2 linked regions of the Yarrowia lipolytica genome follow. Each later gene encodes a partner of the first gene's protein in a complex. Links are inferred from orthologs where the notes say so. Each region holds a gene or a part of one and is shown on either strand. Other genes may lie near its edges. The genes, in order: YALI1_B12847g and YALI1_F34105g.

The links.
Region 2: the proteins of YALI1_B12847g (region 1) and YALI1_F34105g are in contact, whole or in part, in a crystal structure (PDB 7W75), measured with the Kluyveromyces lactis proteins. The link is inferred for Yarrowia lipolytica from reciprocal best matches to the Saccharomyces cerevisiae genes BRE1 and RAD6. Residues at the interface, in XP_451665.1 of Kluyveromyces lactis: Ser17, Glu18, Pro19, Leu20, Thr21, Gln22, Val25, Ile26, Phe28, Gln29, Ala32, Leu33, Arg35, Cys36; in XP_452450.1 of Kluyveromyces lactis: Met16, Lys17, Glu18, Ser20, Met39, Ile41, Asp50, Thr52, Ser148, Trp149, Asp152, Met153, Glu154, Met156, Ala157.

What each region holds. Positions count from the first base shown.
Region 1 is NC_090771.1:1,281,833-1,286,627, reverse strand, and holds YALI1_B12847g (uncharacterized protein), read left to right. Parts: upstream 1-1,892; coding exon 1,893-3,995; downstream 3,996-4,795. UniProt on the Saccharomyces cerevisiae protein: E3 ubiquitin-protein ligase that mediates monoubiquitination of histone H2B to form H2BK123ub1 in association with the E2 enzyme RAD6/UBC2.
Region 2 is NC_090775.1:3,408,513-3,411,591, reverse strand, and holds YALI1_F34105g (uncharacterized protein), read right to left. Parts: upstream 1,062-3,079; coding exon 606-1,061; downstream 1-605. Other genes in the region: YALI1_F34095g (uncharacterized protein), read right to left, coding at 1,474-1,649, 1,784-2,069; YALI1_F34083g (uncharacterized protein), read right to left, coding at 2,341-3,079. UniProt on the Saccharomyces cerevisiae protein: E2 ubiquitin-conjugating enzyme that accepts ubiquitin from the ubiquitin-activating enzyme E1 and transfers it to a E3 ubiquitin-protein ligase.

The sequences.
Region 1 (4,795 bases):
GGAAAAAAAAACCACAAAAGGAAAATGCCGAATAGGTTTTGACGCATCGACAGAACATAGAGTATGCCATTAAAACCGACGAAAAAAGGCGTTATAGAGAATATGGACGTGTCATTGGAACAAAAAGACTTTAAAAAGAATTATCCAAATTTCATCCAATTTTTTCCGATTTTTTCCGGGATTTTTCCGCCCCCAACAATGTCAAAAAATCCTTCTCCATTTCTTTCCATGCAACACTATCCTTCCAGCCACCCAGCCAGCCCAAAACAGACAGACGCAGCCCTAACCCTGCCTAAATGGAATGGGCCACTTTTCTGGGCGCAACCCTAGCCCCCAAATGGCAGGCCAGCCCGGTCGCGTGGGCTCAACGAATGTTTGTTTTTTATTCTTTTTTTTTGTGTCCCTGGTCACGTGAAAAACGAACGAGAGGTCACGTGACACGGGATGGGATATATGCATCACGTGACCTACGCAAGATCCTCGCCCCCGGGGTATTTCCACGTGACTTATTTTCCAAAAAAAACAGAAAAAGGTCGGTGCTGATTTCGGTTAGGGCCGCCGTCGCAATTGTGTCAGCAAAGGGATATGCGAGGGGAAGCACTTTAGGGTTAGGGTAAAGACAGGGTAACTTGAGCGGCAAAAGAGCAACTTGGTGAGAGTGGGACTCGAATGTAGGGCCGACTCGGAGCTACTGTACTTGGAGTAAAGCGGGAAACTGGGTGGGAAACTGGGTGGGAAAAACACAAACTAGAATCGATCGCTGTGTATATATAAATGAGGCTGTTTGTGTTTGTCATGTTGACGGGACGTGGGATAGATAAGGAGGGTGTTACTTGTACTCGCTTGTACAGTATGGTATGTTCCCGTACCGTACCTTCCAGGATGTGTATATATACTCTTAGACTAATGGTGTGAAGCATATGACAAGTTGGATTGAGAGGATTGAACAAGGTGTGAGTGGTTAATTGTGGTGGTTGTGTGAGTGGTGGTTAATGGGCTCATGGTGATTCATGGAGCACTTTTGTGGTAGGTGTGGTATATCTGGAGTTCGAACCAAATGGGGAGATAACTGGGTCGTATGGAAGGAGAAGCTCTTGATGTTACCTTGATCTTCATTTCTTGATTGAGGGTACTTGATGAGAAGTCGTCTATAGATGTCTTTCAAATCATCTACTGTACTGCCAACTGTTATCAGTCTGAAACTTGAGATAATGGGGTAGTTGAATGAATTGGAAAGATTGTATACTAGTTCAGACGGCAGATGAAGCCGCAGTAGAAGCCATTCGAGTATAGAGCACGGCATTACACTGGTACTCTTCCTATACTTACGTAACACACTGTGGAGTGTTAGAACATGGACATACTGGTTTCATGATAAGAACAAAACTGCCAAAAGTAGCAGGTGGTTGAAGGTACTTGCACTTAGAGAACAACTCAGTTCCCCAGCTATAGAATCCACACCGAAACCATGTCTTTGACAGAGAGCCCTGAAGCATACAACGATTGCCTCTTTATCATTAGATACTTGAGAGTCACGAGAAACGAATAAAAGTGCAATAAACAGACTCTTCAACAGATTCTCTACAGATTCACTCAGTCAAATCTACTTCATTTTCATTAGTCATCAATAACTAGTACTCATAGTCACCTGTAGCTGCTTTTTACAACCTCCACGCAAGACCTAATTCTGAGCACACCCGTATAATTATCTACAATACGACACTAGACATGATCTGCCCCACATTCACCATATATATATAATCCCTCTTTGCCACAGACACTGTGCTCATCACCACCAACCAGCACCAAATATCCCCTAACCCTACGCCCTCGGGTTCAAACCTTCATCACTTCCTGTCGTCACACTATCAACTTTTGCAGTCTATTGAACAATGGAGGACAAACGCAACGCTGAAAGCGCAAGTTTGGGCGCTTCTTCCGGCGGCGACAGCAAGCGGGCCCGTGTTGCGGCTCGCCCGGTGTCGCTGGAAGACGTGGCCGAGTTCCAGAAAGAGGCCATTTTCCGGGCCATGGAAACCTATCGACGTGAAAAAGAGACTCTGGAAAAGCAGCTGGAGACGCAAGGCGAAAAGGAGCGGGAGCTGGAGGAGCGCGTCGTTCGCCTGGGCACGTGGTGGGACAAGGTAGCCGATCGGTTGGCCTTGGTGGTGGGCAAATATGAGTTTGAGAAATCAAAGGTCAAGACTGAAGATGTGAAGAAGGAGGAAGACACAGAGAGAGACGCCGGTGATGAAGACGAAGTGGAGGTTGCACCTGGACCTACCGGATTGGCTACGGACCTGGAGCTGGAGGAAAAAAGTGCCTCTATCTCGAGTCACTTCTCCACCCTTCTTGATCTCATTGGGGACAAGATCTCCAAGCAGGACAAGACGGAAGTGTCGCGTCTCAGTGCGGGATACACGGATATGGCCGAGCAGCGTCATCTGCTGGTCCGGAAGATCCAAGATCTCGAACATGAGGCCCAGACCATGAAAAACCAGTACCTAGCAGCAGCCAAGAAGCTGGATAGGTACAAGTCGCCCACCGTGAAGTTGATTGAGGGCGAAGATGTCGAAGAGAAGGCGGAGGAGAATGGCGACCAAAAGACTGCACAAATGGAGGAAAAGAAGGAAACTGAAGATTCCCCAGATACCAAAGATACCGGAGATACTAAGGCCCTGAGAGAAACCATACAAGTCCAGGAGGAACAAATGAAAGAACTGGACGCGAAAATTGCTGCTCTGGAGCACGAGGCTAGTCTGTTCAATGCGAAAATGGCGGATCTGTCCGAATCCGACCTCCTGGATCACTCTGGAGCATTTAAGGCTGCAAAGGAGCAGCTGAGCGATAAAACAGGGCAGATTTTGGCGCTGGAAAAATCCCGTGACGCCATTTCAGCTGAAAAAATGGCCCTCGACGAAAACAGACAACAATACCGGTCGACTATCAAGCGGGAGTTTGAAAAACGCGAGTCTGAGCTCCGTTCGCAGCTGTCACGGGCCGAAACCGATCTTGTGCGAATCAGAACAGCCAGAGACGAGATTCTGGCAGACTTGAGCCAGAAAAAGGCCACTGAAGCGGACAAACTTAAGACGATTGAGTCACTGAAAGAATTAGGCGAGGTGTACAAGCTGCGAATTGGCACTTTGGAGTCTGAGGTTCAGCGGTGGAGAAAAGAGGGAAACGAAGGAGTTAACATGTCCAGCAATGTCGAGGGAAAGTCGCTGGAAGAGCTCAAGAAGGAGGTGACGGTCCTGACGCTGACTAATCAGAGTCTAATGGCCGAGATCCCCGGAATGGAGGCTGCGTTTGTGTCTGCGCAGAAGATGGCCGAAAACAAGGCTTTGGACGTGGCAGACCGTGAAAGCAGGTTAACTAAGTTGCTTGCAGAGAAGGCCAAGGCCGATGAAAAGTACTTTGCGGCCATGCGACACAAGGACGCGCTGGGTGCCGAGAACGCCAAGCTCAAGGCGCAGATGGTCAAGTCTAGTGAGCTAGTCAACCAGCTCCAGGAGGTGGATGCCAAGACGCGCGCCAAGATTGACGTGCTCGAGAAGACGTTATCGGAGTACGTTTCTCTTCATGCAAAGCAACAGGAAGCCGCCAAGCGTCTGACTAGCCAGGTGGCCGAAAAAACGCACATGTTGAACGGCGCTCAAAAGTACCTGACGACGCTCAAGGAGGAAATGAAGCAGCAGGGCACAAAGCTGTCGGTTGGAGAGCATAGAGCTCGAAAACTGGCTCTGGATAATGCCAAACTGACCAAGCAGATCGAGTTGTCTTCTTTTGGAGGCTCTTCTGATGAAATTGACGAGCTGCGGTCTATTGCAATGTGTTCCCTGTGTTCGAAAAACTGGAAAGACACTGCCCTCAAGGTCTGTGGACACGTCTTTTGTCACCAGTGTGCACAGGACCGGCTGGATGCGCGGTTGCGAAAGTGTCCCAACTGCAACAAGCCCTTTTCCCAAAATGATCTGTTGACCGTTCATTTGTAGAGCAAGAGGAGTGAGGGAGATAGAGGAAGGATAGTGTATTATATGGATGTATGGGTTTGTAAATATGAGTGAATGAATATGAGGATATGTACAGATGTGTACGTACACTGTAGTTCGAACACCCGACCTCTTCAAATCTCTAGCATCTCCAACGAACTTGGAGAGCCCTAGAATCGTAGTCATAACGCCTGGAACTCGTCTAATGTCAGTAGAATCACGTGATAGACATATATTAGACAGGGGTAATGGGTTGAAATGGCTTGTTTCGAAAACTGTACCTGTATTTGTATGAACATACTGTACATGCTGATATGTTGGCTTGTTTTGCCCGACGTTTTTTCGTAAGAAACCCTGAGAGTGTTTGACGAGGAAGTAACAAAGGGGCTCTAGATACTTGTCATACACTTCCTTTGAAGATCTAGAATATGTAATGGTTGTACTTGTAGTTCGTTCCTGGTGCGTAGTATTTGTAGAGTAGGAAGTATTTCTACTACCTTGCACTGAATAGTTGCGATAACTAGCTCATATTTATTGCTGTCAACAGCACAAGTTCAAAAACCCTTTCTATTGTCATTCTAGAATCTCCACCTCGCTATGTCATACTCCGTTGAGTACAGCGAAGCCCAGTAATCAGTTAGACACTAGCCACTAGTCTAGTCTACCTAGGAGGGTACCACTACGGTAGTTTTCGATGCGGGGAAGGCCAGAGAGAAAAACAAATATCAAATGTATACTGATTTGAGGTGTTACAAGTGAGCAGTGAAGTGGTTATCGCTGGGGCCTATAGCATGTTCCATTGT
Region 2 (3,079 bases), on another chromosome or scaffold:
TGTACTTGCAGCTAACAGATGTTTAACTGAGGTAAAAATATATATCCCTCGTACCCCATTCAGTTTTCCAAAGGATAGAACATGCGCAGGAACTGCGGAACCATGTTGACCAAAATACCGCTTTCAATATAGCCACACGCGGCCCCCTTTCATTGTACAAGTAGTTTAATCCATTTAGCATCTCCGACGGGCTATAAGTCAGATGTATGAGGTGAAGTAGCGATGAGTATGTACTTGTACGGTACTGGTAGTTTGATAAGCTTCGTATTCAGCGGAATTACTGACGTTAATGACATGTCGGATTTACTACACCGGTCAAACGAAAAACAGCGACTTAGAATATCTCCTGATCCAGGTGGTTCACGTAAGCACGGTACTCTTCTTACAGCCTATTCCGGAAGGTTTGATTAGATATATGAACTGGTCTAGAACCAAACATCCCCATCAACGTCCATTGTCTAGTGGCTCAAACTGCATGATGGTGGCAGACGCCCTAATCTCTTCCTCATCTTTTCCTCCTCTTAATGCAACCGATGCGTGTCCCGCTAACGGGCCCCTCCCTCGTTCCCAGTAAAATGGTATCTCTAGTTCGTCTCTTATCCGCTCTAGTCGGTCCAGCTGGCCTCCACTGTGTCCCGCACCCGTTTTTCGTACTGCTGACGGTGATCCTTGTACAGCATAGACGCCTCCACGTTGGCAGGACTGGACGTATTGGGGTCGTTCAGCAGCGACTGCACCGAGGTCAGAATCGCTGCCACGTCATAGGTGGGCGACCATCGGTTTTGCAGAATGTCCAGACATAGCTCGCCAGATGAGTAGACGTTGGGGTGGAACATCTGCGAAACAAACTTGACGGCTGGCGGTTTGTTGGGGTACTGCTCGTCAAACTGCAGCACCATGCGGAAAGTGCCATCTTCAAACGGGGTCTCCGCCGGTCCGATGATCACGGCGTTCCATGTCAGCACGTTATCAGCCACAGGAGATGCACTGACTCCCTGGGGAGGATCCTGTTGCATGCGCTTGAAGTCTCGCATGAGACGTCTTCGAGCTGTAGTGGACATGGCTGTGGCTTGGTTTTTATTTTCTTTCTTCGGTTACCTGTCGTTACTTAACCGTGTGCGGCGTGGGGTGACGTGTGTTGTTGTTTGGTTGTTTCAGGTGGTGATGTAATGAGTTGTATGGCGCGCGCCAGTCTGGCTATCCAGACTTTGCATGTTGGGAAGAAGACAACCACTTTTATATAACGGAGTTAGGGTTGCAGAGAGGATGACAAATGTGGGTGGCGTAAAAGCCGGAATCACGGATGCCTTATATGCAATAGGGCAGGAGCCACCATACCCAGTATGTTACGGTGGCGATTTTTTGCGGGCTGTGCAACGTGTCACGTGACCAAGAAGTCTTCGATATGTACTAGTGCAACAGCAGTTCGGGCAACAAGCTAAAAACGAAAACAAGACTTCGGCTATATACAGACTATTTTTTGGAGGCAGAGTCGCTCTCCTCGGAGAACTCAATGTACTGGTTGGCGGCAGTGTAGAATGCGAATCCGACAGCCATCCACAAGATGGATCGGGTAAGCAATCGCATGCCCCGATCAGGATCCTGGTTAGGCTCTCGCGGTCCCCAGGGTCCAAAGTAGATGTAGTAAGCTGGGTTAGTTTATGGGCTCGTTTGTGGAATAATCAACCGGGGTAACGGTTGGGGCCCGCTCCGGGTTTGTGTCTCCTAGTATCTCACTCCTATACTCATACCCTTAGTGTCTGTTCTCCCCTTCCATACTCACCAGCTTGCTTCTCCTCAGGAGTCATAATCTTCCAGTCTCCACGCATCTGATCCTCCAGGTAATCGACGACATCCTGCTGCTCGTCGGTGGCCATCTTGGGCCATCGTTTGGGAATGTTCAAAGTGGAGGGCTTGATGGGGTTCTTGACCTTGTAGTTGTTGCCGCCAATGTGGAAAAAACCGTCATCGTAGGGGTCATCGTTGCCAAAGGCAGTCTGAAGGGGCGACTCTCGCTTCTTGAGCACCCGCTGAGACGTGCAGAAAAGACGCCGTGATTGTCTGAGCATTGTGTCCTGGTGTCGAGTTGATCTCGTGGAGATCTGCGAAGTATTGGGTAGGGTTAGGGTAATTGAGGAGGTGTAATGTTGGCGGTAGTGAGAGTGAGTAAAGCTGTGGGATTCTCAGATAGATATACGCTCGCGTTGTTTATTATCATTTCCCAGTTCGACACATACTATAATATTCTCCTACCACTGTACATTGTTGTCTACTCTACCTCCTCCGTAGCCTGTTCGGCCCTTCACCTACTGTAAATCTATCAATGTATAAATTATTTGCTTATTCGTCGCTCATAGGAACATCGTCCTTGCCTTCCGAATTCGTTTCCTTCTTGGGAGTCTCCTCTTTAGTCTCATTATCCTCTCCAGTTCTGGGGGAATCCTTCACAAGTTGAGGAACTTCATCAGTCTCTCCACCCTCATTGGATTCTCCCCCCTCACCATCTTTTCTCTTGGCACGCTTTCGTCGCACCTTTTTGACTGACTGGGAATCATCTTCCTTCTCCTCAGGTCGCTCTCGCTTACCCTGATCCTCCTTAGATACCTTCTTCTTCTTGACTGACAGAGGGTTAGGCGCCTTTGGACCCTTTCGCTTCTTGGCCTGCTCTTCATCTCCCTCAGGTGCCTTTCGCTTTACGGCATTGAGACCGGATGTGAGCTTGGACGCCTCAATCAGCTGACGAGCACGCTCAGAAGCAGGGGAAAAGGGCTCCAGCAGCATGATGGCTCGGTTCATATGAATGAGAGGGACTCCAGGAATGGACCGAAGTCGACCTCGCAAACTAGGATCTTGTGTAGCAACAACGTATCTGTGGACATTGGAGCCGTCGACAACAACCGATTTGTAAATGGCCTCGCTGGGATGCATCTTCCGGGCAGCGTTGGAACCATTGTACTTCAGCTTTTTCTCCTGGGTCTCAGTGCTATTTTCGAAATGCAGGGTTCGTCGACGCTCAAAGGTCTTGCCTAGCTGAATGGCCTCCTCGTTGTTGCTCTCAAACAGCTTGTTCAGACTGTGT